4 linked regions of the Rhinolophus ferrumequinum genome follow. The protein of the gene in region 1 interacts with the protein of each later gene in a pairwise test. Links are inferred from orthologs where the notes say so. Each region holds a gene or a part of one and is shown on either strand. Other genes may lie near its edges.

Region 1 (7,546 bases):
ACATATGTAAGAAGATGTATGCATGGGTTCAAACTCCTTATCGTAGTTGTCAAAGTACTGACGATTTTGCAGTCTTTTTTTAAAAACTAAATTTTATTGGGGAACATTGACGGACATTGTATTTCTCCAGGGTCCATCAGCTTCAAGTAGTTGTCCTTCAATCTAGTTGTGGAGGGCACAACTCAGCTCCAAGTCCCGTCGCCGTTTTCAATCTTATTCCCAGCAAGCTTGTTGTTAAGAGCTTGCGCTCTAACCGGCAGCCCCTCCAGCAGCTCATTGGCAGCTCATTGTCTTCCATCTAATTGTGGAGGGCGCAGCTCACTGGCCCATGTGGGAATTGAACCAGCAACCTTGTTGTTCAGAATTCACGCTCTAACCAACTGAGCCATCCGGCCGCCCCCGATTTTGCAGTCTTAATGGCTGACAGGGTTATGCCAGATCAATTCCTTCAATTCCATCAACATTGAGCACTTCCTGTTTTCAGAATGCCGTTGAGCAGTCACATGGCTCAGGGTGGCACAGAAGCAAAGTCTGTCACCAAGGCCACTGAGACCTACCTGAGAGGCACTGGTAGATTGAAATGTGGAGATCAAATCAAGAAGAATTCTGGCTTTGGGTGTTTCTGACCAAATTTAACATCTCCAGAGTAGTGACTAGGAAACCAGAACGTCCCATCCATGTCTCGGTCCTCATCTTACCAGATGGGTCACATCCTGTTTCTTCATCGTTTCATCACCCTAGAGCCAGCTCAGCCATGGGGCGAGACAACAACCAGAAAGTGCTGGAACGTGGCCAGAGCTGAGGCAGTGCTCACCATTTCTCATTCACGGGCTCATCCCCCAAGCATTTATTAAATGCCTACTATGTGCAGGACAAGGTGGTGGATACAAAGGAAAGCATGGCCAGGTGGTCCCCCACTCCCCACCCCAGGTTGCTCATAGAGAATAGGTCACAACAGCCTGTTCTCATAACCGTTGTGGGGTGAGCTAACTGGGCCAAAGCAAAGCCAAATGGTTAGAAGAATGGCATCTTCTTCTAACCAAGAAAACAGTGTAAAATAACGTGACAGGACACGGAATCAACGGCTGCTGTGGAGCGACTGGGAATAGAGTGGCTCTTCTGGAACAAAGGAGTTGAGCAAACCGTGATTCCGAGAGGCAGAAAGGCAAACAGCAGGCTTTCTGAAAATGGTTGCTATGACCACAAACCAAAAGACAGATAGTTTCACATTAGTTTCTGGCCCCACCTGTACCCACTGGTATTAGTGTCCGTATGATCTTGGAACAGGGACAATATCTCATAGGAAACATTAGTTTAAAATATTATTTAATTCGATGTAAATAAAACTTCCTTAGTTTACTACCAGGAAAAAAAATTATTAACTGAACTCAGCTAAATTTCTCACAAATTTCACTTACACACAACATATAGAGATAATAGCTTCTAATTGTGAGATTTGGGCAAATTACTGAATTGCTCTTTGTGTCTTTGTTTCCGAATCTGTCATGATGAGGACTACATGAAATATATATACGTGCGAACTTTATTATTATTATTATTATTATTATTATTATTATTATTAGTGTCTATAGATTTTATCTTGCACTTCACAAGTTGTGAAATTCTTGTCTTTATATAATAGTTTCAGCCCCCCAAGTCATGGGAGGTGACAGCTGTAGTAAATCTCGCGAGCTCTTTGGTCTGCAGCCACTTCTTAATGGAAAGGACTATTTCTGACCTTCAGTTCACAGCAGTTACAAATGTCAAAGGCAGACCGTTTCCATCCTCCCGGCTCCCTTCCCACTCTGCTGTCTTCAGGGCCATCTTCCGGCAACTTGCCTCCTTGTAGAATGCCGCTGGGGTGTGACTGCAGGGCACTGAAAGGTCCCTGACCTAAAATATCTTCTGTGCCCCTGTGGGCTGGGCATTTCGTCACCTGCGTTGTACTCTGAGGTCTGAGCAAAGGGGCTTCCCGCTCCAAATCCATGACTATAAATATGCCTCTTGGTTAGGACTGTGTGTCACCCACAGTCCCTAGATAAACCACCCCTCCTGGGAGGGGGGCATTCACCTCTTTGAAAACACAGGACCCAGCAAGACTGAGAGTGTTCTAAGGAGAGGCAAAACTTGAGGCCTACAGACAAACCTGACCTTGGTGTCTAAAAGTTTTGTTGTTGTTGTCGTGACTTTTCAATATCTTAAAAACAGTATTTTATCACTTCTCTTGAAAAACAAAATTAGAAAAATAAAAGCACTAGTAACATTGTCCTGCATTGCCACAAAATCACAGGGATCTCGGGTGTCCCCAGCCAGTTTACCCACCTGCCTATGCACCTCTGAGCTTGATTGGAGAAGCCTGGAGAGCAAGCCTGGGCACTGGGACTCATTTGTCCGTTCTATAACATTCCAATTCAAATATTTCTTTTAATCCTACAAATCCACAAAAAAACAAAACACAAATGCAATCTATAAAAAGGGATTTACTGAGGAAACAAAATATGCACGTTAAACTTCAAATAAGGATCCAGTTCTTGCATTTTAAAAGGCTTTTATATTTTCACTTCCCTCATCTCTTAGAGATAACATTTGCTAATGTTGAGTCCAGTATTTATGTGCCCATGGCTGTCTGTCCCCAGCTAGATCTAGCTCCTCGAGGCCAGAGATTATCATCTAACTGTGGCCTCACCACCAAGTACCAAAGGTGCTCACTGTTAGTTGGGTGGGAGCATCTGAAACCCTGTTATTTTATGGGGATGCAGAACAACGTTGATTAGAACTTCTGTTTTTATGTCTTTATTTTTTAAAAATTTTATTGGGGAACAGTGTGTTTCTCCAGGGCCCATCAGCTCCTACTCGTCCTTCAATCTAGTTGTGGAGGGCGCAGCTCACTGGCCCATGTGGGAATCGAACCAGCAACCATGTTCAGAGCTCCTGCTCTAACCAACTGAGCCATCCGGCCACCCCTATGTCTTTAATTTTTAAAGAGAAGTTATACAATATCCTGGTTTTAAAATATTGACAAGTCACTGAACAAAACAAAAGCTTTGGAATACTGAGTAGATCCGAAAATACAGGACTGTGGCTCGTGAGTAAATGGCAGATAAAAATTTAAAAATAGTGACCATTTATTAGCTACTCTATGCCAGCCATTGTATATATATATATTATTTATTTTTAAACGTAACTAATAACACTTATGGTTACAAATTCAAACAACACATAAACATATAGTGTAAAGTGCGAAAGCCCGTTTTTTCCCTCCCCAACCCCACACCTCTCCTCAGCTGTGGCCACATAGTCTGAGTTTGGGGTGCATTCTTCCGAATATGAATGGATATAGACACATTTCCAAGCTTACTATATATGTATGTGTGTGTGTGTGTGTGTGTGTATATATATATATATATATATATATATATATATATATATATGTATATCTCAGATTAGCCCCATTTTACAGATGAGGAAACTGCAGCACAGAAGGGCCCCCAGAGTTGGCAGGTAAGTGCTCGAGCTGAGATTCAAATCCAGATCGTGACTGCTGAGTCAGCGCATCTGTCCCACTGCGCCCCGTGTATAACATTTTATGGGTGAAGAAACCGAGGCTCATCTAGAGGTCCCTGAGCCATCAGCAGCGCACGATGCACGACTCAAATTGGGAGAGACAGGGATGCCCGGGCTAGCGCGAGAGGCTGCGTGAAGGAGAGCGCCTTGACCCACGCGGGTCTGGGGTCGCGCGGGACCATGCCAGCCGGGTACGCAGCCCCCACCTGGAGCCTGGACTCGCCCGCGTCGCTCCGGGACAGGCGCCACCAAACTTTTTGGCCCGGCGTTCGCATCACCCACTCGGAGCCGATCCGGAGGCCGGGGTCCTGGGGTCCCGAACTCCAGTGGGCCCAGCACACGGGCCCAAGGGCAGTGCCCGGCAGACGGCTGCCGCCGAACCGGCTGGGACCGTCCCGGTTTCGCCCCCTCGAGCCATCGGTAGGCGCCCCGCACGCAGGGGTGACCAAGGCCCGCAGCCCCGGGTGGGTGGCCCTGGCGAGGAGGGTTTGGGGGTGGCCCGCCCCCACCCGGGGGCCGCGGAGGGGCGCTGGCTGGGCGCGTGGCGGGCGGGGCGGGGGCGGGGCGGGGGCGGAGCCGCGGCCGGAGGCGGCAGTGTCCCGAGCCGGGCTCAGGGGCCGCAGTGGCCGCCGCGGAGTCAGGCTGACTCGAGAGAGCGCCCGGGCGCAGAGGGGTTAACGGGCCGCCGGGGCCGCGCAGAGCAGGTACAGACCCTCCCTGGGACCCCCGGCCCCGGCGCCCTCTCTCCCGGGTCCCGTTAGGCCACCCGCCCCGCGCACCCGCGCCGCCCCCGCTCCTTGCGCCCCAGGTCGCGCCATAGCCACGACCCCGGCCCCAGCTCTTACAGCCTCGGAAGATCTTCCAGTCCCTGGGGTCAAATTCCTGGGGAGGGGGCTCTGATCCCGTGGAACTCTGTCCCTGTCATCTGGGATGAGAATCAGCCAAAATTCCTACTAAGTCACATAGTAAAGTTGGAAAACATACCTAGGACCTCCCCGCACGCGCCGGCGCCTCCTGCCCTCCCCTGGAGGATATGTGCCTCCACCCCCGTCGCTCCTAGAGTTGGGGGACAGGGGCGCTGAGAGGGCAACAGGTGGGTGCCGGTGATCCAGCTCAGCCTGATGAGCAGAAGGAAAGACACCTGTTGGGATGGTCCTCCGGGACCCAGGAGTGGAGGGCATAGTGAGGACCAAGGAGTCCTACCCAAGGCAGGGACTCTCCGCAGCAGCCAGCCAGAAACGTGTCGTCTAGCCCTTGCCCCAGCAGAGCCTCCTATTTCCCAGAGGTGGGTCCCTCTGGGGGTGAAGGGATTAGCCCTGCCCATGTCTCTCCTCCTTGATCTTCACTGGCCAGTGTGGAGGTGTGGCCAGGAGGAGCCCAGGTTTGTCCTGACCAGTGTCCAGCCTGGCACTGGTGACCACTTCTGACCTCCCCTTTCCTCACCCTGGGCAGTGAGAGACACCAGATAAGAGACATGAAAAGGGGTGAGAAGCACAAAATGTGTCCTGTTTCCACACTGGAGAGGGTGTCGGCCCCCTGCCTAGCTGTGCAGGGGGGCTGGGGTAGGACTTTTCCAGAGAGAGAGCCAGGCCTGGCCCAGGCCCCAGGAGCTCACGTCACCCCCACCCCCCACCCCTCACTTCTCCAGGGAACTGCCAAAGCCAAGCCCAGCTCAGGACAGGACTATGTGTACTGGGTAGACCCATGGAGAGACAGCAAGATACAGACCTGGGGAAGCAGCAAGGGCGTGGCGAGGGGACCCCGCAGCAGAGAAAGGGCCAGCAGTGATCCTCACCCCCTTCAACTTCAAGTGATTGAGCCAGGCAGAGAGTGGAAGGTTTGGGTGGAACTTTGGCCCTTCTCTGGAGCCCCTCCACCGCCCCCATCAGGGCGGGGTTGCTGACCTCAGTGGTCAGCCCAGCCAGGGGAAGGCGAAGCCATCAGCAACCCCCTCCCCAACCGCAAGCAGCTGGGGTGACCCTGTGGGTCAGGTTCAACCACTGTCCTCCTGCCCCGAAATTCCCAAGTCCTGGGGTCTCAGGGAGGGGAGTGGGGCTGAGTGTTGCTATCCCCACGCACATTCCTGCGCTTCCCTCTGTCATTTTCCGGCCCCTGGGCTGGCCCACCTCGGCACTGGCTCCCTGGACTCCTTTCCCGGGTGCCTTTCAGATCCAACAGAAACATTTTTTTTTTCCTGGAAAGCAGAACTAATGGATGAAAGTGGGGGTGGGAAGGGCTGGTATTGAGCAGGAGGGGCTGGAGGGTAAGGGGAAGCAGTGGGCAAATCGGGCTGTGAGACCAGGGGAGGGTTCCAAGTGCCACTTCTCTGACTGATCCACGCTAGACTTCAGGATGGACTTCTGGACTCTTCAGAATGCTAGGCCTGTGGTTGGGGAGCGATGGCAGCTCTAGCTGCATCTCTCCTTCCCAGGTACCCCCAGTCCATCATAGTGGCACCTGAAATAAGCCCTCGTTGAACCAAGGCTGGATGCTGGCTCCTAAAGGGAGGTTAAATCGCAGTGGGCAAATCACCTGCTTCTTTAGAGATTAAGCATCAGCCCACTTAGTTTATCCCTTGGCTAAAAAGTGATGGAAGCACTTTTGTGATGCCTGAGTGTTCCAGAGGAGCTTAGCTCAGGGAAGAAAAGGCTGAGAGGCAGCTAGGCAACAGAAAGCCCAAGGGGCTTCATGTCAGCTCCTTGAGGGGGCGAGGGGGCGTCTGGCATGTCCTCCCTGGAGCCTCCCTCTTCCTCCTCGCAGGTCCTCTGGGAGGGCAGGGCGGGAGTGGGGGCCAGATGAAAACCATCCTAAGAAAGATGCCCGTGCCTGAGCTGGCCTACCTGGATAAGGGAGAAGCTGAGAAGTCCCTACAGGGCCAAGGGGAGGAGACTAAGCTTGAGACTCCCACCCTTTCGCCTCAGCAGCTGGACAAGGGCCGCGTCCCTCTCACGCTCACCCTTAGGATCCTAAGGGGTGGGCCAGGCTTCCCCCACCCCACCCTCCTCATTCCGAGATGTCTTTCCTTCTGAGGAGTCACCCCTCCCAACCCCCAGCTTTCTGGAGACCAGGGGTAATCACCAGAGCACACGCCTACACGTCCAGATGCTGGAGTAGTGTGTTTACTTCTGGTCCCCTCCTCCCTTGCCCGGAGCAGTCAAGGAGAAGCGATGGAGAAGTTGGTGGACAGGTAAGAGGTGGGTTGCCGGAGTGAACGGATGGCTCTGACCCTGGAAGCGAGGGAAAGGAGATCACTGGGAGGGGCAGGGGTGGGAGGAAGTGATGAGTAACTTCTGCTTCCTGAGAAGTTGGCATCGGGATGTGGGGAGCCTGCGGGGGGTGAGGGGCCATGTGGCAACACCAGCTCTGGCTCCTGGCCGATGGCTGACGTCCGCATTTGGCCCTTCATTTGTAGGCCCCGGTTGTGTCTGATGCTGCTTCTGTCCCTCCCTCGGCTCTGCCTGGATCAGGAGGTGAGCCAGGGACCAGAGGCGGTGACCCTTTCACCTCCCCTGACCTCCCATCCTACTTGTCCAGGCCATGCCTCCATTTTCCACAGCCGCTGATGAGCCCTGGCCCCTCTCTCTCACACTTGGCCGTCCCCAGCCTCCCCTTCTCCCCAACCCCCTAACTCCTTGCCCAATAACATCAAGTCCAACCTCTGCTACTGCCTGTGACCTTGAGCTGGTGACAACCTCCCTGAGCCTTGAGCATTAGACTACAGTCTCTGTATGGCTTCCTCTAAAATCATTCTAATTTTGTCTGACCTTTTTGTCTACATAGGTGTTGTCTGGACACGCTCTTCAGACACCCCCTGAGGAGGGACAGGGCCCTGAGGGCATCTGGGGTCCTTGGGACCAGTGGGCCTCTTGCTCCCAGCCCTGTGGGGTGGGGGTGCAGCGCAGGACCCGGACATGTCAGCTGCCTCGAGCTCAGCTCCCCCAGGGCCTACCCCTCCCACCCCGGCCCCCAAGACATCCAGAAA
Region 2 (8,381 bases), on another chromosome or scaffold:
AACTCAGAATAACCAAAACAATTTTGAAAAAGAAGAACAATGATAGAAGACTCATTTCCTGTTTTCAAAGTTTACTACAAAGCTAGAGTAATCAAGACAGTATGGTGCTGGCATAAGGATAGACATATTTAGATCAGTGGATTGAATTAAGAGCAAAAAAATAAATCCTCACATTTATGATCAGTTGATTTTAAACCAGGTTGTCAGGACAATTCAATGGGAGAAATAATACTATTAAAATACATTTCTGGAATGAACCTAACCTGATCGTGACACATTGTCTTTTTAATACCCTGTTGGATTTGGTTTGCTAAAGTTTAGTTTTGGACTTTGTAGATACTTTCATTAGGTGATACACCTAATCTGTATTAGTCACCCACCATGATGGAGGGAAGGGATAAGTAGGGGTTTGGGCAAATGACTCACCTCTGCAGAGAGGACAGGTGGCTGCATTCCCATACATGTGACCTGAGAAGGCTGTGGGGACTGCAGGAGGTATCTAGTACAAGCACAGAGACAGAATTATGAATCTTGAGCTATGGGAGGCAAGCCAGGGCTGGGTAAATGTCTTGGAAAGCCTCACTCACTCGACATCACGTAAGCTATTTGTGCCTTTTTGGGTTCTGCAACTGTTTGCTTTTATTTTATTTTTCTTCTGTTTCTGATAAGATAATTTCTTCTCCTTGTTTGCACCTTTGGGCATGGGGGTAATATGTTCAGGGACTTGCCCCAGGACAAACCCCAAGCCCCTTCCCGGGGATGTTTCTCCTCTTCCTTCATTTCTCAGCAGAGCCATATCAGGGGTTCTGGATCAGCGGACAACCCTCAGCGCCTGCTCCTTCTTCAGAAGGAGCCTCTGTCTTGGGTCCTGCAGGCCCCCAGATCTTAGCAGAGACCCCAACCCTCAATTCCCTCCATCCTGGGAGGAGGGTGTCCACTCTGCACAGTAGGGCTCCACTTCCTACCCTAGGCAGGAATCCACGCTCACCCACCCTCCTGGGACAACCCTACTGAGCCCCTCTTTTCCCAGATAACACCCCCACCCCCAGGCCTGGGCATTGCCTCCACCACTGCCCTACCCCCTACCCGTACCATCCTCAAAGAAAAACACCCAGTGACAACCTCAGACCGAAGTGGTGAGTTGGATTGGACATAGGAAAAGATGGAGAAAAACTCAGGCCAGGGCGGGGAAGGACTTAAAGGGATAATCCACATGCATTTATACCCATGAATTTGACTTAAAACAAATAGACAAATTCCTTGAAAAATACAGTGTCCCAAAATGACAGAATACATAGAAAACCTAAAACGTCCTATATCTGGTAAAGAAACAGAATTTCTCAGTTTTAATTTTCCCACAGAGAAAACCCCGTGTCTCAATGGCTTCCCCCGGTTAAGTTTTCGAAGCATTTAAAGACTAATACTAACCCTCTTGAGCCAACCTCACCCCCCAGCTAGAGATGGGCAGTCTCTAGCCTCTCCTATTGCCCCAGTGAAGAGGGAAGTTTCTCTTAGTGCAGACCAGCTCCCCTCCTCGGCGCGGTGCTGATCCTCCCTGCACTCTGCCTGCAAGATGGTGCCGTGAAGGGTGGCCTGGGCAGGAGCTGGAAGACAGCTTTGGCTCCTGGGAGCATTGAAGACCCTAGGAGCCAGGAGCCAAGTCCTAGTTGCAACACCGTTCGTATCTCTCAGGAATATACCCACAGCGCCCTCTGCTGCTTTTGAGAAGATATTACAAACGCTGCCCACTGAGTTTCCAGCCATCATTCAGCCTGAATTCACTGAATCCACACTAGAGAGAGAGAGAGAGAGAGAGAGAGAGAGAGAGAGAGAGAGAGAGAGAGAGAGGCAAGCACAGGGCAAATTCAATCCTTAAGACTGAGAGAGCAACTAGCATGCTTTCTTGGGTGTTGGAAATGTTCCTTGTCTTGATCTGAGTGTGGTAATGTGGGTATTCGCATATGAATGGAATTGTCAAATGTACATTTGTGATAACTGTACTTTACTGTTTATAAGTTTTACATCAACTTTCTCTCTCTCTCTCTCTTCTTTTTTTTTTTTTGTCCATGGGATTGTGCATGAGAAATGAAGAAAAGATTGACATTTTTGGCTGTTTTCTGACCACCTGAGGGAGTCTTAGCTTAGAATCACTGTTGTATATGATTTTGATTTAAGAAAAACAGCTGCTAAGAAACTAGGAAAAGAATGATAATTTTTTGGTTGTAAATAAATAAAGTCTGAGTTCCATTAAGGAGCCTGCAGCCTAAAGAACTATCTTTCCTTATTTCTTGGGAGTATAGGCAAAATGGATATAATGGGCAAAGTAATGAATAGCTGTAGAAGCCAGAAGAGTATGAGGTAGAACTTGAAGCTTATTTGTTTCAAGCACCATTTATTGAAAAGACTTTCCTTTCTCATATTGAATTGCCTTGGTGCCTTTGTCAACAATCAATCGACATTGTATATGCCCGTCTTTCAGTGGAAGCTCTATTACATTTCCTTGATCTCTGTCTTTCTCCTTATACAAGTACCATGCTGTTTGATGACTGCATTATAGGAAGAGTTGATTTCAGGTCGTGTCTTTCAACCTTTTTCTTTTCTTTCAAGTATATAAAATAAATAAACAGACAGATAAAACAGATTTGACAAAAATTTACAAATTTAGAAGATAGGCCAGAAAAGAAAAAGAAAAAAAAGTCAACACATATATAATAGGAGATCCTGAAAAGGAAAACCAAAACAAGAAAATAGTACAAATTCAAGTACAAATGTACAGAGTCAAGAAAACTTTCCTGAAATTAGAAAAAAAAATTTTGGAAAGCTATATATTCAGAGGGAAACTATGAACCTGAGAAAATTGATCGCAATGACCAACACCAAGATTTATTCTAGTAAAACTACTAAACTTAAAAGCAAAAGAAATATCTTTGGGCCTCCAGGCCCAAAATAAAAAATCACCTACAAGGGAAAGAAAATCAGATTATCAAATTTTTTGAGAGCAACACTTTATATCAGAAAACATTAGAGTGACATATTTAAAATATTTTCGGGGAAAAAATGTGAGCCAGGGAATTTAGGTCCAGCCAAACTGATTTCCAAGTATAAAAGCCACAGATGAACTGTTATCAATACAGCATAGTCAGCCATGAAGCAAAGATACACAGGGAGCTGATATAAATATAATATGTGAGTAAAAGAAACACAAAATTGCCAGAATTGATTTACAAACCATCTTGGTAATAAGAAAGAGTACAATTTACCCAGAAGAGATATGTGTCTCACTTCCTCTGGGGTCTGGCACTCTAAATTATGCAGGCTGAACTGTGGTGTCATGAATGACAGTAATAACTAGCCTTGTCTCAGCCTGAAACCCAGCAATGGTCAGGAAGGCTGTGTTGCCCGACTTGGAGCCAGAGAACTGAGTCAAGACACCTGAGAACTGACCGTTGTTCTTGTAGATGAGGACTTTAAGGAACTGGCAGATGCTTGTACCAGTTTGGGGCACACTTGATGCTGCTGCTGCTTCAAGTGCAGAATATGGTGATTGTACCTCCCAGAGACTTAACACTGAGGCCGGCTGAGTCAGCACAAACTTGGGCCCTGAAGCCTAGAAAGATAAAGAGACTAAGAAAGCAATGAGAAGTCCTGCAGCCAGTGGTTAAGAACTTGGCTTCTAGAATCAGGCTGCCTAATTTTGGAACCCTGCTCTGCCATTTATATCTATGACATGTCTTCTTATGTGTCAAATAAGGATAATAATAATTATTATTGTTGTAATTAATAATATCTAATTCTTAGTGTTGTAATGAGAATTAAATGTGTTAATAGTAGAAAAGTGCCTAGAACAGAGTAAGCACTGTGTGGGTGTTAACTATTAACAGTGTTATCAAAACCACGGTCCAGCCTATGCGCAATCAGAGAGAAGAGAGACCTGGGAGCTCTCGGGTATCCCATCTACCACAGCCAGGTACCTGTGCAGTAAGTGAGGTGTTCCTATGAATCTAGGTCATTTGTCAACCTAAGGGTCCGTAGGAGGGCCTGACCGACAGCTCCCAGGGAGGTCTGTGTGGAGGGCTCAGCTGCTGGGCTCTTGGGACAGAGAGCATCAGCGGAGCCAGGAACCCTCTTGAGACCCTCAGGCCTCCAGAGATGACCACTCAGCGCCCCCTGCTGGGCCCAGGCTTCAGGTCCTTTCTCCTGCTCTTCAGAACGAACCCCCCGGAGCTGGGTTAAATGAGCGATGGGGTTGCCTTTTTACCAGTTGGTCGAACCGCTCAGATCCAACCTTAGCCCTGGCCGCTATAAGTGGGGGCTGTGTGGAGAACAGACCGTAGGGCAGCAGGGTGGAGGCCAGGGGGGGTAGATGTGGCTTGGATCAATGTGGTGGCAGCCGAGGCAGGGACGACTGATTGGGTCTCAAATACGTTTTGAAGACAGTGATACATAATGAATGAGAGAGGAATCCGGGATGCCTTCAAAGCATTGGGTTTGAGCAATCAGGAAGATGAAGTTGGAGATGGAGAGTCCGCCAAGGAGTGAGTGAGTCAGTTGGTTTGAAATCATAAGTTCTATTTTGAAAGTGAAATCTCACTATGATTCTTATTTTTTGGTATTGCCCAACTTTAGTTTGACCATAGAACTTTTCTTTTTCCAGAGTATTTATCAGGGCTAGTATTCCAATAGAGGCAAGTTGGGAAGAGTGTCTACAGGGCTCAAAGGAAATGTGTGTACGCTTGTAAAAGATATTAAAATATGGTCATAAAAATTATTTAAAACGTCTATATCCCTAATGCTTTATCACAAAAAAATACTTTTATTTTTCCAATTCATCTTACAGATATAATTTACACAGTTCATTCATTCATTCCACAAATGTTTGTAGCATTGAAAGAAGCCTGCTATACACACATCTGTAGTTTTAATTATTTTAATGATTAACTATATATATTTTCATGCTTATCATCCAGTTTTTTCATAATCATTATAATGATCATTGTCAATATTGCCTCCCCGCGGGCAGAATGGGGACTACCTGCAGATTGTGGTTTGCAAAACGACTTGGGGCTGCGCTGCCGGAACGTGCAAGCCACGGAACCCATGGAGGGAGACGTGCGGGTGCCGGAGAGCAGGCAGTCGCAGGGACGCCAGCGGCTGCTGGACCCGGAAGTAGCGGTTGCCTGTGGCCGCTCTGAGAGCCGGAGCCGTAACCGGAACCGCGGCGGAGCTGCGGGTGAGAGGCAGGCGGCGGGTGCCGCGCGCAGGGCTCAGGGATGTGGGAAGGGAGCCCTTTTCTCGGGCATGTGTCCCGAATGCTGGCCGGGCACCGAGGGTCCCGGGACTGGCTCTTTGCGTTCTTGCTACCTCCTCCCTCCTTGTGGTGGTTCAGGGAGGTGGTGATAGGCCAGCGCTTAGCCAGTTGTCTGGAAAGAGCAGATGCTGTAGTTAATACCCTTCTCCATCGAACCTGCTCGCAGTTCTTTGAGATGGGGTCTGTTGTCCGAATCTGTTGTCACAGGTAGGGAAACTGAGGCTCAAGGAGGCCGTGCAGCGGTCGGGCCAGGATTGGGCTCAGGTCGGCGAGGCTCCAGGTCAAGGTAGGTTCCACTCGCAACTGCCTGGGCTCCAGCTCAGGGAGTCTTGAGGGTGCCCGGGCGTTTCTCTGAGTTGTTGATGTAGATGAGGGAGGGTATTTTTGTGAACAAATTAACTAGAATCCAGGGGCGGTAATTTCTCAAAGATGCAAAAAAAAAAAAAAATGGCTTTGTCTTGTCTCCTTACTGCCCAACCTTTGGGAACCAGAAGTCAGGCCAACGTGGACGTGATAGCCATTGAGCCCTGGGGTTCCTAGAGCCTTTGCAAAGAACGGTCATCTGATACTAGTCTGAACTCCAATTTACTCATAGTTTAAAAAATTACGACGCAGGCCTTGTAGGGTTGATGGCGAGATTAAATAGTGTTTATAGCAATAGCATTCCTCATACAGAGGAGGAGCTTAAGAAACGGTTTTCTTTCCCTCTTTTCCTGACTCCATGGGTATTTGATGAAGTTACTAAGGTGGGAAATCCTAGGGCTCTAAATGCTGTTCAGACCACTGCTCGGCCTCCACTCCTAAGCTAAATCCTCTTGTTCATAAGACACTGACGTGAAAAGACTTTATCTACAGTGTGTCCCAGAGGACACATACCATTGTGGTATTGCTGGTGAGAGTTGACAAGGTAGTAACAGACTGATCTGCTGCTCCTTTTCACTTTCAGCCCTCCTAATTACAGTCCCCAATTTGGAGTGTTTGCTATCAACACCCCCTTAGCACTTGCTAATCTCCCTTTCTGAAATAAGAGGACAAACTTCAGTCTCAGAGCTTTGGCAGGCAACAAGATCAAACTTGGTAAACCACATAGGTTACCGGAAAGAAACTTGTTCTGGCCATTGATTACAGGCTTTCAGTGCCTATGAGGCTGTAAAATGTCCCCTTTTTATATATATTTAAACTTTTTTAAAAAGCAAATCTTAAGTGAATAATAATGTTGGTAAGGCACAAGCATTAAGATGGTATATAAATAAGGTTTGCAAACGGTTGCCTTCAGCTTTTGTTCTCATTGACTTCCATTTGAAATTGGAGATGTGCCTTAATGAAAAAAATGGGGACACCCTAAGATTAATCAGAAGATTAAAACAAAACAACAAAAAACATGTACCCAGCTGGAAGAAGGAAACATGAGTTCCCCCCTCAATTCAACCAATTCCCTGGGTTACCTTTGGAAAATGCTTTCTTTGAGTCTTAAATTTGTTTTTCATCCTTGAGATAGTGGTATCATCAACCAAGGCCCTTTCCCCAGGATTCCATGATTCCGTATCCTTAAATGAAATGATATTTTTTCCCTAATAAAACAGAACATTACAAAGTACTCATGCTCAGAACATTACAAAGTACTCATGCAGTACGGAGGTATAAACTGTTGAATTAGAACCTGTGATTCTTGAGAGCCAGACGGCTGAAGAGAGGCACGTATCGTCGGTGAGTTAGCATCTGCACAGCCTGACAGGTGGACAGGTGATCTGAAATTGGGACTAATGCTGATGGGCCTTTGTGTGACTGTCCAGTTGTATCCCTAGCCCTGGATCAATGAGGCCATCCCTTTGAAATTGCTAGGACAAATTGCTTCTCTGTAAAGGGATCTTTAGAGAAGAATCTTAATGATTTACTGAAAAGGTGCTTAGGATCCATAGGTATAAAGGGGAATAGTGGAGATGTAAGATTTCTAGAAACTTGGACACCATGGAAAAAAACATCGAGAAGGAGAAGTATTTACAACACTCTTACAAATTTAAAGTCAGTTTTTAAATTTTAGACATCTAAAAGAGTATTTTTATTCACTTTGCAGATTGAATTACTCATATTTTCAGTCATTCATTCAATCAGTATTTGCTCATGGTCTACTACTTACCATCAGAGTAAATAAAACCCCTATTCTCCTGGAGCTTATTTAAATTCTAAGAAGTGTAAGACAAAACAAACAAGTAAGTAGATGGAGACTGTCAGGTATAGTGGTGATTGCTCCAGGGATGTAAAGCAGGGCCGCTGCTCTATGCGGGGTGCTCACAGAGGCAGTACAGGATGAAGGCTTAGTGCATGGGTTGTAGAACAAACAGGCCCGGGTTTGTATTCAAGTCCTGCCACTTGAGCTCGGGTCTCTCTGACCCCACAGTTCCAAATGTGGGGCAGCACAGTTGTAGCACCCCCAAACGAGGAGACTGGCAGCACTGCCAGTGCCTGGCATGTCGTCACTACACTATAATTGCTGGCTACTCTTGTGACACAGAAGTGAGAAAACCTGAGGAAGTGTTTTAGGATAGAACCTTTTAACAGATCTGGAAGGGATGGAAAAGTCAGACTCCCTCTCAGAGCAATCTCCCTTTGCTGCCAGTTTCCCCCTCTGACCTCTGGCTTCTCTGGGTGGGGAAGGGGCGCCTCTGGGTTGCCTTGAAGCCTCACTTTTGGGTCTCTGACTTTGGTAGAACTGAAACCTCCCCAGGATGGAGAGCAGAGGCCACATAAGGACAGTCTTAGTTGTTCATTCATTCATTCAGCAAGCATTCAGTGCTGCTGGGTGTCACATAATACAACAAAACTAGATGCCATCCATCGGGTGGGGTGATGGGTGGGGAGACACAGCAGTGATGCCAGGCGTGGTTTTCAGGGAGGGGTGGGGGCGTCAGAGCCAGTAGAATCTGGGGGAGAGTGACCTAGGTGGAGGCCTGAGGACAGGAACAACCAGGGACACACAGGAAGGGAGGAGGTGCTGTTTGGGAGGATGGCAGTGAGGGCGCACAGCAGGGCAGTGGGCGGTGCAGCCTGGGTGATGGTCGGGTCAGTGAGCTCC
Region 3 (7,278 bases), on another chromosome or scaffold:
GGCCCATCTATAAATTCACTAAGCAAGACTCACTCAAAGTGGGGTCCCCGGACAAATGCAGAATCCTGAACCCAATGCCAGACCTTTGAATTGAAATCCCCGGGGAAGTCTGACCCAAGAAATTGCCTTTAACAAGTTGCCCAAGTGCATCTGATGCCGCTGAGTTTGAGAACTTCTGTGGGAGCCTAGGAACATGGAAGAAGACCTTTTCTTTTTTTTCTCCCCAGCATGGGGCAGACCTCCCACCCTTTGTTGAATGTTGGAGAAATTACTAAATCCAAAGCAAGAGATAAAGGATTTCTCCTCATCTGAGGGCACTTTGGGATGGTTCTACTCAGGCTTGATATTCACTAGGTAACCACTGGTAAGGCTGTAAATGTGTTAAAATGTTAAAATTCTTCCAATGCGGTTAGCAAATACCCATTGCTCTTACCTCTGTTTTATCCATTGGCCCGGCTGCCCAGGCCTCTCCCTGGCACTGCCCCATGATCTAGCCACTAAAGGGTTAACCCCTGGTCTAGCATGCGGTGTCATCTATTCTCATTGGTCAGTGTAGGTGTCAGTCAGCCCCTCATAGGTCCAACCAGTGTCTTTGTATACGGGTGGGCTTGTGCCCTACTTGTGACCCTACCCTGTGGAAGGGTGTGGGGAGGATCCTGGGTGGGTGATACCCCAACAGTTTACCTTGATTCTAGTGTAAGTGTCCCTGTCTTTACAGGCCCCCTAGGCCTTAATGGGTAGAATCCTAGTGGGTGAAATGGCATTTCTGGAGGTGGTGCTGGTACCTCAGTAGTCAAATGCCTCAGGTTATGGCCACCACCAGCTGTGGTATCCCTAGAGGTTCTCTAGCATGGCTGCTTCTGAGGACTGCAGCTTCCATGGGACTTTGGCTCTGAGAGATCCTGGAAGAGCCTGGGTGAGAGCACGAGGCATGCAGGAGTTCAAGTCCACAAACCTCAGGGCTGTGTTGGCATGGCTTGACAGATGAAAACCTGCTTGGCACAGATGATGCACGCAGGGGTTAGTGTGGGGCCGGGAGAGTTTGGGGAAACAGTGTCTGTTTTCATTTATTTGGTCAAATTTGCTAAAAATCACTGAATGCCTTCCTATCGTGGCATTAGACACATTTCTCTCGTTAATAAAAATGCAGGCAGGTACTTACATATTTATCCTGTGCCAAGCACAGTTCTTTACTCATTTGAGTTACCATCATCCCCATTACATAGATGAGGAGACTGAGACCCATAGCCACAATTCGAATTCAGGCAGCCTGCCATTAGAGTCCACACTGGGAAACACTACCTTTCTTCTCAAGTTACATTATTAAAAAAAAGTGTGTGTGTGTGTGTGTGACTTAGTTGGTAACAGAGATCTGAAATATATAAAAAACTGTCTATAATACAATGGCTAGAAACATTCTGAGTGAAATTGCTGTCAGTTCAGTAGAAGCTGAGAAAGGAGTCAGCAACCTTAAACAATACTACTGATGTTAAGAGAAATTATCTACCTATGGGGACTCCAAGTAACCTAATGATTATCGAGTAATTGGGGACGTCATTGGAAAAGTTCCATGTGTATTACTATGTCAATCATGGCTCAGAAAGGGGCATTGTTTACTTAGTGACGGCATGCCAAACAAAAGGTCCGCAATTTTTAAAGCTCAACAAATGATCTGGATAGCATTAGAAACTGATAAACTACTTGCATTAAAACTCATATGTAGGGGCCGGCCCGGTGGCTCAGGCGGTTAGAGCTCCATGCTCCTAACTCCGAAGGCTGCCGGTTCGGCTGTGCCCCCTGCAACTAGAAACGGCAACTGGACCTGGAGCTGAGCTGCGCCCTCCACAACTAAGACTGAAAGGACAACAACTTGAAGCTGAACGGCACCCTCCACAACTAAGATTGAAAGGACAACAACTTGACTTTGGAAAAAAGTCCTGGAAGTACACATTGTTCCCCAATAAAGTCCTGTTCCCCTTCCCCAATAAAATCTTTAAAAAAGAAAACCTCATATGTATATGCTTCTGTTTAGAGAATACTGGAGATTCAATGTTTTAAATTTACATGTCGATTAACTACTTACAGGCTTTTAAATATTTTGGTTATCACCTCGGCATTGCTTATTCAATTCTCTATTCTATTCTTTTGGTCCCACCTGTCAGCTGGAAAAGAAGATAAGCTCTCAGACTGAGCTCTGATGTGTTGAGCTGTATCCCCTTTCTGCTTCATTTGTTCCTCCTCTGGCTCATACTTTTTCTTTGAGGGAGAAAGAGGTAGATACCTCCTTCAGGTGGAAAAGGCTTTTCTGGCAATCGAATGGGGATGTGGGCAAGGAGGCTATCCTGAGTAGGGCTATTGCTTCCTTCCATAAACCCAGGTAATTGAGCTGTCATATTTAAAGTTTTATTGGTTAAGATTCAAGTTAGGACTGGAGCCCTTCTTTTGCAGGTTCCTTCAGGGCTACATGTGGAAAAGAACAAACAGAAAACTCAGTGATGCGTCCTGAATAGGGCTGTAAGAAATGACAAGTCGTCAGTCCCTATGGTCTCAAGGAACACTGAAGGGGAGGGAGTTGTTTGAACACTTCAGAACAGAAAGGAAATGCAAAGCTCTTCCATTCAGTATGTCAAACCAGCTCAGAAGTATGTGACAATCCAGGCAGAGCATTACAGTTTCAAGCCAGTCCAGTCATGATTCTCTGGCAAACCGCACAGTCATGGTTATGAGGCATTGGGATGAGGGGTGCTATATAAATGTCATCTGCTACATAAATGTCAGGAATAATTATTGTTTGTTAATGGGGGCTAAACTGTTTCTAAGCAAACCTCTTACTCTCAGCCAACACATCCTTAGCAGAGGTTGTGACCACCAGTAACCCAGGAGAAGCGAATGCTCACTCCTGGTTCTAGAAAGAAGCCTAGTTGGGATCTGGGCTTTAAAAACAGGGGTTGGGGTGATGCCACTGCCACCAATTGCTCAAGTGACTTCAGGCCAGCCCCCTCACATTCTGGAGTCTGTCTTCCTTCACCTGTAAAATGGGGATAATTATAACACCTGCCCTACTTCTTGTGTTGGGTGGTGAGAATCAAGAGAGTTCACGTGGGTGTGAGTGCTTTGTAAAGTGTGAGCTGCTGCAAGGATGACAGCGGTCGCATAAAATCGGCTGGAATCTCGCCTATGCCTTCCCTTTGAGTCCGCCTCATAGGGAGAACATCTGAATGGAAATTAAGCTGAAGATGGTGATGGTGACTGGCCAACGCCGAAAATGCCAGGCTCCTTCTCTCAGGAAGTTGTCAGGAAGATACTGCAGACCAGGCGCCGGGATCCTGAATTCTGGCTCTGGCTCTGCTACTTGCCAGCCTGTGAGCTTGGGCAAGTTACAGACAAGGCTCTGGAGGGAATCGCCAAGGGCCCTTCCGGCTCTGACGCTGAGTCTAAATCAGGCTCATCACTTGGCTCCAGCAGTGATTCACCTTTCGCCTCCAGGAGCAACTCTCCCTCCAGCTTCTCAGAAGCACGAAGCAGGGGTCTTGGAAAGGGTGGGGTTTGTGTATTTCATGTGAGGGTGCACAATAAAGTTATTCCCTGCAGGTGAGGTGGGGTGGGGGCGGTTAAAAGGAGTGCTGTGTGCGCGCTCTGAGAAACCAGGATGCAGTGCAGGGAACACTGTAATGAGGTCACGACTGTTGTCGCAGGCAAAAAGGAGCTGGACATCTGCTGTTGGGGGAGGAGGGTAGCGTCCTTCATTTCTGTTGGTAGAAAGTCTCTTCCCGCACCCTTCAGGACCCCCTTCCCACCTCTCCCCTAACACCCCTCCCCACACCTTTCAAATGCTACCAGGCCCTCCTCGCAGGAGAACCCGTGTCTGTGCCTCCTCCGTGGTCCTGTCTGAAACCCTGAGGATTGTTTCCAAGCTGACTCACACCACTAATGTCAGGGAGCCGTGTCACACGGCGCTGGGCTCTGCAAGCTGTTGCTTGCGCGGTCGTCGCCGCCGCCGCTCCGGGGTGGGTGCACCAGGTTCCGCTGGTGGGGCGGGGCTGGGGCGGGGCCCGCCCCCTTGGCGCGCCGGCCCCGCCCCTCCCTCTCTCCCCCGCGGACCGCAATGATTTAGAAGTTCAGGAATCCCACGTGACGTCACCGGGGGGGTGATGTAATGCACTCTAAATAGAATGTATTGTAATCTTTGCTCAGTCCAACGTGGTCCCTTCACCCGGGCTCCGCTCTTGCCTTCTCCACACTTGTTTGGTAAGTTCCTAAAAATACGGCTCGGCCACTTCTGGGGCTTTTGCATTTAGCCACTTTTGTTGCACTTGCCGAGGGAGCCATCTCGGGAGCGTACTTGTTTGCAGGGGTTGGTTCTCGGCAGCAGCCGCGAGGTTACTCGGTCCAGTGGGCAGGTCACAGGGCAAGGAGTAGGGAAGATGCGATGCATTTTTTTTTGGAGGGTGATCTGTGTTTGTAAACACTTTGGCGGACCAGAAGGAAGTCCGGCCCCAAATAATGGTGAACTGTGGAATTCTGCTGTGTCCTGAGGCCACCCCAGAGACCCCACGCCGTGTCTTTCCCGGAGCGCGTCTCGGTGGCCGCTGCGCCGTGCGACTGAAGGGATGCTAACGTGGAGTGAGCGCTGTGTCCACCCGGCGTGCGTGCGTGTGTGGGAGCGCGCGTGTGTTTCCCTGACGCGGGGAACAGTTATGAATCGGGGGTGTGTGTTTGCCTCCAGAGACCTGGCAAGGTGCGGAACCCTCCAGAAGTGCGGTCAAGCGGTGGCACCGGCGGTGGCAGCGGAGACGGCGAGCCAGGAACCTCCCCCCGCGTCCCCAACTTCCCGGTGATGCGGCGGAACCCCCGAAGAAAGTTTGCAAACTTCCAGCAGGCGCGGCGAGGACGCGTGGTCACCTAGCGGGTGGGCAGGAGGGCGTGCGGGGGGGCTCGCTCCCTCCCGGGTGCCGAGTCTGCTGCTGCCACCTCTCCCGCAGGGCTGCCCGCCGCAGCTGGTGGGCGCGCGCACCCGGGGAGGGGACATCGCCCTTGGAGGCACTTGGCTTTCGCTCCAGGCACGGAAGGCTTGAGAGTGGTGAGGCTCTGCTCGCGTTCACTCTTCAGCCGCCTCCTGCCTCCGTCCGGTGCTCGCTGGCATCGTTACCTCTTCCCCGCCGCTGCCCCAAGTGACAGCTCGGGCTTCTGCCGCGGCGGCGCGGTGGCAGTTCCCAGGACTCGGCGAAGGAACCCTCCTCTACGACAGTTTCTCCACGGAACCGCTTAAACTTTTCACGAAGTTCTTAGAGGGGCAAGACACGCGAAGGAACGAAGGAGATGTTTTCTCCTGGCAGCTGCACCCAGCTTCTTCTTTGCCATAGATTTATTTCCGGGCGGGGGCGAGGGTGTGTGTTATCTGGTAGATAAAGCCCCAGACGTTGTCCACCCTCCTTCCTAACTTTCCCTGAACGGGTGCCGCCCCCACTTGATGTTTGTTCAAGGCCAGGAACCGGAGTGGGCTGCTTGTATATTTTGTTGTCAGTGTCCGCAGAGTGTGTTTGATTTTTATTTTTCCCTCCCTCTCTGACATGTGTCAAGGAATAAAGGCTGGATACAGGTCCATTACGTCATTCTGCAGGCCAGTAAGTGATTAACAGCTTCAGATACTCAAGGGTTCGGGGGCTTAGAAATGCTGACAAAGCAACTCTGCTTCCCACCCCCAGCCCCAACATACTTGTACAAGCGCCAGTTCCGTGGGCATCTGTATTGCTCCCTCCTCCGGGACCCCTCCTTCGTCACCCCCTCTCCCTCCCACACCGTTATCACTCTGGCCCCGCCTCCGCCTTTTACTGTTTTCCCCGGGGCTATCACTGTCCCTGGAGTGTGGGTAAGAGCTTCTGGTGTCTGAGGGGAGCACGGTACCTGATCAGCACACGCACAATCTGCCCTTTTCTATTATTTACGAAAGGCACCAGCGACCCCTCTTCTCCAGGGCGAAAACACTCAGCTCTGATAGAAAGACATCTCAGGAAATGCTTAGAGACGTTATGATGATACTGTGTCCCTGTGGTGATTTAGGAAAACAACACACCCACTGCAAACATAGCACTTAATTTTACGTAGCGCCTTTCTCCAACCGCTTAGCAGACCAGGGAAGAAGTGAGGATGCTGACTAAATCAAATTTAGCTGAAAGGATCAAGATTAAACGTTTCATTTCCAAAGTGAGGGAATGTGAGTCGTTAAACCCAAAATACCATACAATGAATTGCTGCGTGTGTTACTTTCTTTCCTTCAACCTTAAGTTTCTATATTTAAAGAGGACGTTAAATACACACGTTATATGAATTGAATCAGAACTTCATATTTGGCAGTGGAAATAAAAACACCAGTGTGTGACCATGTTTAAGGGATAAAAGTAAAAACTCTTGGAGCGGGAGGAGTGTGCACAGCAGAAATAAAAAAAAATTACTAGTGGGGTTTTGGATGGAGTGGGCAGAGGACTTGGGTGCTCTCTGATTTGGAGTGGCTGAAAACTAAATAAAGGAAAATTTATATTCTGAGGATGTGGGGATTTCTTGAAGAACACATGTTTTGTTATAGTCAGACCTACTTTCTTCAAAGTGAAAGCCATGCTGCAGAGTAAGCATTTGTGAAACTCCTGTCTGGGATCTAATTGACAATCCTTCCCCAAGTTCGAGGCAGTATTTATTATTTATTCACATCTAGAGATGAAATAGTACTGCCCCCCCACCCGCACAAACATGTGCATCTAAAATGTTAAACTTCTTGTTTATGATGCATAGACCTAAAGGAAAAAATGGCCCGGGTCACGGACACTGGAGAGTGTGATTAATGATCAGTGATTTAGTGATCAGTGATTAGTGGTTTTATTCAAACTGTTACCTCTGACCAGAAGCACACATCAGAGGATTAACAGGCTCTTTAGATAAATGCTCATTAGTGGAAGGGGAAAAGCAAAGATAATAGGCATGTACCCAGGGACAACTTTCGAAGAAAATCATTCCCGTCTTCAGAATAATAAGCTCTATTAACAGAAAGCCCTTTTAATTTAAAACTTGCTTTTATCTTGTAAATCAAAGTTAGATGTAAAAGTTTGTAGTGCCATTATAACCTAAATTTTCCCATATCCACGAGATGTGGATTATCTCAGTAGCGATATTTTTTTTTTCATTTAAATAAACAATTGGACCTTTAGAGCAGCTGAACCCTGACAAGTCCTTAACTGCCAGGGTTTGAAGGTGTCCCCCCTTCTAGAATGGAGAATGCAACTTGCT
Region 4 (8,207 bases), on another chromosome or scaffold:
AATTGAATAAACTATTCTAGCTTGTTGCTGCTATTCTAACCTCTGTTGCATGATGATGCATCTAATTTTTAATTCGTAAATACAAGATAGAATTCCCTCTAGCACCACTTGCTTTCATATAGCTGCTGAGCAGTTTGCTGTCTTGAATAAATTTTGCTTTGGAGGGGGTGGGGGGGATTTGAACCAGCACATTCTTGTGTGGTTTGTGAAGATTCACATGGTAACCAGCGGTGTGCATTGTTAGGTTTATCTGAATAAGCACCAGCCATGTGAGTTTTAACATGATTGCCCAGGGCAATGGAGAGAGAAGGGAGAAACCCGAAAGGATTGCACTCCACTCTCTTTTTTGGAAAGTGCATTTGCTGGAGGACGGGGGCTGCATGAGTCAGTGGCCATGCCTTTTTTTTAAGCTGGTGTCCTGTTTCCCTCTAGGTCCTCATTTGTTCTCCTATCTGCCTCATCATCTACTTCTTCTTTTCATTGTTTACCTTCCTAATGAGGGAGGCGGGGTAGACTGGGGGTTGATTGACAGCTACAAGCCCTTACAGTCTGGCCAGAGAGCAGTTGGCTTTGGTTTCAGAAATGCTTTAAATGTTCGATTAGGTCCTGTTTTTATTAAACCAAACTGCTGCTCATCTTAAGGAAATTATCAGGCCAGCAAAGATTAGGAAATATTATTAATTGGGGTCTAAAACCGTCCAAAAGAACTCCTAACCACGGAAAGAGAACTGTCCATCAGATTTTCCAACCTTTAACATGGAATTTCAAAAAGAAGTATGTAATTTTTCATTTGCAAAAGTGCTTTGATTTGAAACCACCCAGCAAACCTCTCCAAAAGAAAACTGGCTGTGATGCGATCGAGAGCTGCAGTGTAATATTGCAGAGCAAATTTATTTTTTACTTCAAAGAAAATGCTAATTAGCCGATTCACTACTTTTAAAGTTATTGTGAAGCATATGGCGCCCAGTGTGAGATACATCCAACTGCTAAAATAGAGCATAGAGGAAATTAGCGAAGAATGGGGCTGTACAGGGTAGCTTGGGGGTGGGGGAGGAGGATAGGTTCTCAGGCAGATTCTCTAGCCTTTCAGAATGATTTTATCGCCCATCTCTGCTTCCCGCCTCCTCATTTACCCACATCCACCACCACCAAGCCTTGGGCCGACCTCTTCTAGGCCTCCAGCTCTCCCTCCCCTACTAGGGCGGAAATCAGGTGCGCACCTCCGGCTAGCCAATGGTTCACACCTGGTCTCTTTTGCAGGGTCCAACTCAGCCGTAGCCATCTCCATCTGCGGAAAATATTTAGAAAGCAGCGTTTTAGGGGTGAAAACCTTACCACGATGGCCAAACACCCCACAGAACACTAGCTAGTGCCTCTGTAATATGGTTTGCAGAGTACAAGGAAACTGGAAAAGGCGGGAAGGGAGGATGTGTGTGTGGGGGGGGGGGGGGCTGCGAGTGTCCCGCGGGTGAGTAACGAGCCTTCGGTCCTTTGCAGACTGGCAGAAGACTGAGGCCCAGAAGCGACGGGAGCAACTCCTGCTGGATGAGCTGGTGGCCCTGGTGAACAAGCGCGACGCGCTCGTCAGGGACCTGGACGCGCAGGAGAAGCAGTAAGTGGGCACTGGGATCGGGGTCCAGGCTCTGCTGCCTGCTGAGGGGCCGAGAAGTTTGCGGAAACTTCAGTCCAGAGGTCTCCAATGGGCCGGGACAGCCTCCCACTGGCCCCGCTGTGCCCATTCCCGCTGGGGCTCGGAATGCAGGGCAAGCGGGGAATGCTGGCTTTGCCCTCCACGTAGAAAAATAATTTTGTTTCCTATTTGACTTCCAGGGCCGAAGAAGAAGATGAGCATTTGGAGCGAACTCTGGAGCAAAACAAAGGCAAGATGGCCAAGAAAGAAGAGAAATGTGTTCTTCAATAGTAGCCGGACCAGAATCTTTCCCAACATTTTAGTCTTGGGTCCCCAGACCAGAAAATGTCAGACTCGTTGATTTAAAACTTTTAACATTTTGTTTGGCTGGATTATGCTTCTTTACCACCACCCCTTTTCCTCCCTCCTTTCCAGATAATAGACAGAACTCCAAAATAGCTTTGTTTAAGGGTTTTTTTGTTGAGTTAATCATTTCCTTGAAATCATGTGAGATAGATTTGCACAGACACCTTGTGAATGATTGGTATTACGAGTGTTCAAGAAACTGTTCAAAGAAAGAAAGAAAAGAAAACCCTTCCCTCAGTATTTTCCCTCACTTTTTGATAGGAAGAAATTGAAAACATTTTTTGTTGTTGTTAATAGCATAATGACGGTGGGAGGGGGGTAAGAAGGGAATAAGAAAAATGTCATGAATGATTTTTTTTTCCAGTCCTGCCATATGTAACACTGACTCTGTTACCTAAATTTTATAGTTAGATCATATTCATTCTACTTATTAAACTGTGTTCTATTTACCAGTGGGATTTTCTGCAGTTGTTTTGCATTTCACTGTAAGGATAATAGAGTTCCTCTCCTCTGTTTTCCTCAGAGGATGATGGCCCTTTAACATAGCCTGAGACAAGTCCTGTGATTTGAAGGTGAGCTGTGAAGATGGTATTAATTGACATGCATCAGTTTACAAAGACAGTCTTATCTTCTGAGAATGCGCCATCTTTTTCTCTAGATAATTATTTATTACATCTAGCTTGGTTCCTACATTTTGTTGGATTTCAACATTGGCTCAAGAATGCTGTTAATATTTATTCTGTATTGATAAAAGTTTGTCTTGCCACTATGAGTAAATCCCCCAGTTAATATTTTCTTCTCTAGCGTAGCACTGTCATTTTTTTGTGAAAATGGTTACCTGTTTATTTATTACAATGCTGAAGTCATATATAAATTTTCAATAAAAGCAGAAACTTTCTTACCTTAAACACTCTGCTACTTCCTTGCAATGAAAACTTGACACTGGTTTGAGAAGTTTGTGTTTCTGTAGGACTTTTCATGTGGGGGAAAAAAATGGTCCACTTGAGCACTGGGCAGGATACTGGGCTGTATTTGGAGCTGAATAAGTTTACACCATCCCGGAGGGGCCCTGTTGACACAGGAATTCGAATTGAAAAGCAGTTAGTCATATTTTCTTAAGCAGTGTAAACTATTATCTTTTATAAACGGTCATTTCTGTTAAAGATTTGAGGAAATTTGTGATTCCACAGCACTGAAAAAAATGTTAATATCTTGATGAATTCTCCACATTATTATTTTCAATTGTTATAATTTTACAGCCATATGAGGAAGAACTACAACTTCTAATAGCCTGCAAATCTGTAGATGCTAAAGTGAAAGAAAGGTTTATTGCTGGGGGGTGGGGGGGAGGGGGTAAGTGCTGCAGGTGTGTATGAGGTGAGGAAAAGGGAACTTTTAAGAAGTTCTAGGCAACAGAAAGAAACTGGCGATTTTTACGGTAGTTTCCATTACTCCTCTACAGAGGTGTCCGAAACAAAGAAAGCTCATTCAACAAGTCTGGAGAGAGAAAACAGTTCACTCGCAAATAAATATACTTTTGCCTAGATCATATATATGTATGTATATATACATATATATAGGTATATGCATATATGTGTGTACATACACACAAATATTTATACATACACATAAATTCGTTCGAAAATATGCAGCCACTTACAATTGCCAGTCTTTCAAAATGATAAACACTTGCTACCGTAGAATTTCTTCACGACAGAAATTTTAAGAAGTTATTGAAAAGTTATCGGAACTCAGTGAAATCGGGTATTTGCCCTCTTTATTCGAGCAGAAGAGCCGAGCCAGCGGCAGCTCTCTGGGGGAAGCTCTCAGACGCACGCTCTAAGCCCTGGCAAGCCGGCAGACGGAAATCGCCAGCCCAGAGCAGCCTGACGTTTGGGAGGCCAGCATCACCCACCCCATTTACGCTGGATTCGGGGAACCTTCCCTCCCGAGGAGCCTCACAGAGAGGCGACTCCCCCAAGCCGCTCCCGACCTGCCAAGCCCCAGATTTGCTGCCCCTCCTGCCCCAGGCGGGAGCCTCGCTGGGGTCCCATTTGGTCTGCTCCCGAAGACCTGGCGCCGTGGCGCCCGCACGCCCCGCAGCGGCGGCGGAGAGCGGCCCCCAGGACTAGCTGGGTCAGGCCCGTGGCGAGGGCGCCGTGTCCCGATTGCCTCGCGTTGTGCCCAGGGGCTGCTTCTTGAGCACAGGCGCGAGCCCAGCATACGGAGAGGCCGGGAACCCGAAAGCCCGCGCTGCAGGAAAAGAAGCTGTGCGCGCGGGGGTCGCCGAGGAGGAGGAGCGTTGGCAACCGGCTGGCTTGGGCACTGCCCGGCGGGCCGGTGCAGAACTTCCTCCTCTGGCCAGCATCCCACGTCCCCGGAGCCAAACCCCTCCCCTTGTACCAAGTGTCCTCCAGAGTATGGCCTGGCCTCGAGGTCACCTGGATGCTGGATCCGGGTCCCGGAGCCCAACTCCCACGCTCCCTCCCCGGCCCTGCGGGCCACGGGCTGAGTCGACTTGCCTTCTCTCGGGGATGCCCCCACTTCCCCTCCCCGCGCTACGGCCGTTGCTGGAGAGGTCGAGGCTTCTGGCCAAGTGTCTCCCACCTGGACATGTGCCTAGTGACGGCCGCCTCAGTCCTGTACGACGCATACAAGAAACTTTCATCTCAGTCTCTCTCTATTCTCCTCCCTCTCCCCTCTCTTTTTCTTCTCTTAATCCCGGGGTTTTATGGGTTGAGCATTAAGAAAACTCGCCTGCAATTTGGGATTAGATAAGTACTCTCATTGGCGGCGTGGGGGGGGTGGGGGAGACCGTGCTACTTGATACCTCCCAACTTCCCCGAGACCGTGCAGCATCTGGAACCCAGAGCGCAGGGCTCCCGCGTGGCGGGCCCTCGGGACCGCCTGAGCACATTCCAACGCGCACAACCGCCCTACCTCGCCCAGCCGGACCTCCGCCCCGCGCTGCAGCTGCAGGCATAACCGGGCGCCGAGAAAGCATGAGAGCAAGAGGTGGCGGGTCTAGGACAAGGCACGCACCCAGGCCCTGGAGGACTAAGCCACACACACAGCGCGCAGGCCTGGGCTGGAGCAGCGCATTGCTAGGGACACAGTCGCTGCCAAAGCGCACCCCAGGACGCCCGCATTCGCTTCCCCCAAAACTATTGTGCTCCAGCCCGCGCCTTTTCCCAGAACTGAAGGAGAGGGTGTATTTCGTTTCTTTCTGTAAACCTCTGCAACGTCTCCGAGGGCTCCGAGCCGCGGGCCTCGCGAGCTACTCCCTGCCGGGGCCTGCGCAAGCCTAAGGTGTGTCCCCGCCCGGGTCAGCGCTGCGCTCTGCGCAGTTTCTTTTCCAGTTAAAGCTTTTCTTTCTCATGTTTTTCCTTTTCTCTCGTTTCTTTTATTGTTTTCTCTCTCTCTCAGTCTTTCTCTTTTGTGAATGGGCTGCGGTGTCTTTGTTCTAGAGAGAAGCGCCCGTGTCGCTGACTTTTGTGAACCAGAGAAGGATCTTGTAAAACCTCCTTTTCTCCTTCGTACTCCCCCACTCCGACCCCTCCTCCTTGGCCCCTTTGATTAGATGTTCCCTCATCTTCCAAAAAAAAAAAATGTAATTTCGTTGGTCTGGCGGCCACTTTCTTTGAACATTAGCTCGCTTTCAGCTCCAACTTCAATTAGAAGGAGTTGATTTTGAGAGATCAACAAAAGAACCGACCAAAGCCTTATTAAAGGTCCTAAGAAGATCTCCCAGGTCCTTTGAGAAGCAGTTAAGGAAACAGTGTGCCCTCCATCATATTCTGTTACCGTATTTTATTCGGACTCCAAAGGAAAGTGTCGCTTGGGGGAGGGGGAAGCACTTTGATGAGCGGCGGCCGCGGCCCCTTTCCACTCAGCGGGCTCCCCCTTCTTTCTGCTCCTTGCGCAGCGCCCGGTCCTCTCTCGGTGCCCGACCCCCTCAATGCGCCCGGCGGCTCCCTGACTCTCTCTCACACCTACTCCTGTCCAAACTTCTCACTCCGCCTGTAGGGGTGGAGGGAAGGGGGATTAGGAAAAAGGGGTATGAATTCCTCGAAAGGCAGTAAAGTCGTGCCTAATATTCAGGAGGAGGTGCCATTTGAAAGAATTGCCTTGCTCAGGATTGGGGCGAAAAGACGTTTTTTGAGCTTTGAAAAGTCCACCAGGTGGACGTGTTTGAGAAGTTTGTTTGGCTGAGAAATGGGCTTTGCCAGTACGAACAATACGGGAAAATCGCTTCAGGGAGGCTCCTTCTGCGGCATGTGGGAAAGAAAATGAAGGCAGGGATCTGTGACCACCTTTTCCACCCGATTGTCCCTGGTAGAAGAATACTGGGAAAGAGACAGAGACGGAGTGTGAAAGAAAAAGTTTCCTATCAAAAATTTTCGATTCAGAAGTAGAGTGTGTGTGGAAGGGGAAGGGAACACTGGGAGGGGACACGACATTTCAGAAGAAGCGTTTAAGATTTGCAAACACCCTTCGTGGGGTTTGGGAACTTCAGGAAACGCCGAGGAGCAGGTAAATGGCGGGGCCTCTCCTGCGGGTGCTGTTCACGGGAGCGGGAGTCCTGGGGCGCCGAGGTGGGTTCTGCGCACCCGGCGCTGCGCCCGCGCTCGGCAGAGTAGCCTGTGCCGGCACGAGCTGCCCGCGGCGTCCGTCTGCAGGTGGCGGCGCAATGGAAGAAGACGCTGGGGCCCACAGCGCCGCGCGAGGGGCCGGGGGCTGGGGGCCCATTCTCCTCCAGCCCGCCTGAGTCCTCGCGCCCACAACCCGGCCGCTGAGTCGGGTGGCGCTCGGGAGAGCTAGAGAACCGGTTCTCCAGCACCTCGCCTCCTCTCTGCCACTCCCTCCGGGGCGCTGAAAGGGTGAGAGAAGGGCGGGGGCTCCAGGGCGGCCTGGGGACCGGCGTCCCCCTCCGCGGCTGGGGCTCCGGGTCTGTGCAAGTCTTCCTCGCCTGGCTGTGCGCGTAGTTTGCCAGCCAAGCCCGGGAGTTAGCGCGCGACCGGGGCGGGGCGGGCGTGCAGCGAGGGCGGGGTGCAGGGGGCGGGGGAGGGCGGGGGCGCGCGGAGGTAACCCCCGACTCGGGCTGCCATTGCCCGGCTCCCTGTCACTCAGCCCGCGCGGGGCCCAGGATTGGCAGCCTAGCCCCGTTACGCACTCACCTCGCGTTCACATACCCAGGGAGGGCAGTAGAAAGGTGATCAATCTTCATCAGGCTACATTTCCAATCACCTAAACAACCGGGCAAGACAAGCCACACCGACAAGGTAAATCGCTTGATTTATTTAGTTTGTAAAGTGCCTCTGCAGGACTTCCCCAGCCCCCACCGCCTCACGTTTTACCGGGAGTGCAGCGGCAACCGCGAGCTGCCTCCCAACTCTGCCCCTCTCACTCCACCCTCCCCCTTGAGGCCCCTTGGCACGATCCTGGGCAAGGTAGTGTCTCGGGAGCGTGTGGGGTTTTGCAAAGTGTCTGTGCAATAAAGTGAAACTTGGAGGGACACGCATAAAGCCAGTGGAAAGGAAGAGACGGGAGGAGGGAAGTTGGGAAAAGAAAGAAATCGGCGGTCCTAGACAACGCCAGCCCGGCGGATAATTCCTGCGGTTCTGTTTTGCAGGTTGACTGCCCGGCGGGTTCGTGAGGGCGCGAGGTAGATGGTGAGCAGCCCCAGAGCTGAGGGAGGTAAGGAGAAAGCCGCCGGGCCGCTCGGGACTCTGGTACGCGCCGGGTGCTCTTGCGTTCCTCTCCTCAGACGGGTCCCCACTTCCCGGGTCCCGGCACGTGGGCGGGGCTGGAGAGCGGCCTGGCTCCCCTACTGGTGCGCGGAGGACCCCAGGGCCCCGCTGCGGCCCCGCGCCCCCGCCTCCTCCGAAGTAACCGAGCTGAAGTGTTAAGTTTAAAGAAAGTCTTTGAAACTCACACTGCAGCCTAGCAGAGTCGCCGAGGCCCAAGAGCCCCGGCTGTTTCCTTTTCGTCCCCTTCTCTGCAGGCTGGATTCTCCCAGCCCAGGCCGTGCGTCCCGAAGGATAGGGGCGGGAGACTTCTTTAGCTCTCACGTCTCTCCCTGAACTCCTTAGCCCAGGTCCCAGGCCTGCGTTGACTTCCCGCTAAGAGGGGTGAAGAGACAGGTCCCCTGGGGCCCCAGTCCCACTCCCTCAGCACCACTTCCCGACCCCTGAGGGTAGCGCCTCAGGTT

The links.
Region 2: the proteins of ADAMTSL4 (region 1) and TOP3B interact in binary tests that used the Homo sapiens proteins (3 or more experiments, as listed by UniProt). The two-hybrid records come from large-scale screens. The link is inferred for Rhinolophus ferrumequinum from reciprocal best matches to the Homo sapiens genes ADAMTSL4 and TOP3B.
Region 3: the proteins of ADAMTSL4 (region 1) and CREB5 interact in binary tests that used the Homo sapiens proteins (3 or more experiments, as listed by UniProt). The two-hybrid records come from large-scale screens. The link is inferred for Rhinolophus ferrumequinum from reciprocal best matches to the Homo sapiens genes ADAMTSL4 and CREB5.
Region 4: the proteins of ADAMTSL4 (region 1) and OTX1 interact in binary tests that used the Homo sapiens proteins (3 or more experiments, as listed by UniProt). The two-hybrid records come from large-scale screens. The link is inferred for Rhinolophus ferrumequinum from reciprocal best matches to the Homo sapiens genes ADAMTSL4 and OTX1.

The regions. Positions count from the first base shown.
Region 1 is NC_046305.1:50,813,468-50,821,013, forward strand, and holds the start of ADAMTSL4 (ADAMTS-like protein 4), read left to right. Parts: upstream 1-4,163; 5' UTR 4,164-4,268; intron 4,269-6,594; exon of another isoform or gene 6,595-6,617; 5' UTR 6,618-6,731; coding exon 6,732-6,751; intron 6,752-6,976; coding exon 6,977-7,034; intron 7,035-7,344; coding exon 7,345-7,546. UniProt on the Homo sapiens protein: Positive regulation of apoptosis. May facilitate FBN1 microfibril biogenesis.
Region 2 is NC_046308.1:22,783,585-22,791,965, forward strand, and holds the start of TOP3B (DNA topoisomerase 3-beta-1), read left to right. Parts: upstream 1-5,161; 5' UTR 5,162-5,230; intron 5,231-5,515; 5' UTR 5,516-5,594; intron 5,595-8,381. UniProt on the Homo sapiens protein: Releases the supercoiling and torsional tension of DNA introduced during the DNA replication and transcription by transiently cleaving and rejoining one strand of the DNA duplex.
Region 3 is NC_046303.1:13,464,042-13,471,319, reverse strand, and holds the start of CREB5 (cyclic AMP-responsive element-binding protein 5), read left to right. Parts: upstream 1-4,190; 5' UTR 4,191-4,248; intron 4,249-7,278. UniProt on the Homo sapiens protein: Binds to the cAMP response element and activates transcription.
Region 4 is NC_046296.1:26,506,773-26,514,979, reverse strand, and holds the start of OTX1 (homeobox protein OTX1), read left to right. Parts: upstream 1-5,207; 5' UTR 5,208-5,305; intron 5,306-6,809; exon of another isoform or gene 6,810-6,876; intron 6,877-7,176; exon of another isoform or gene 7,177-7,278; intron 7,279-7,628; 5' UTR 7,629-7,693; intron 7,694-8,207. Other genes in the region: EHBP1 (EH domain-binding protein 1), read left to right, coding at 1,498-1,612, 1,831-1,921. UniProt on the Homo sapiens protein: Probably plays a role in the development of the brain and the sense organs. Can bind to the BCD target sequence (BTS): 5'-TCTAATCCC-3'.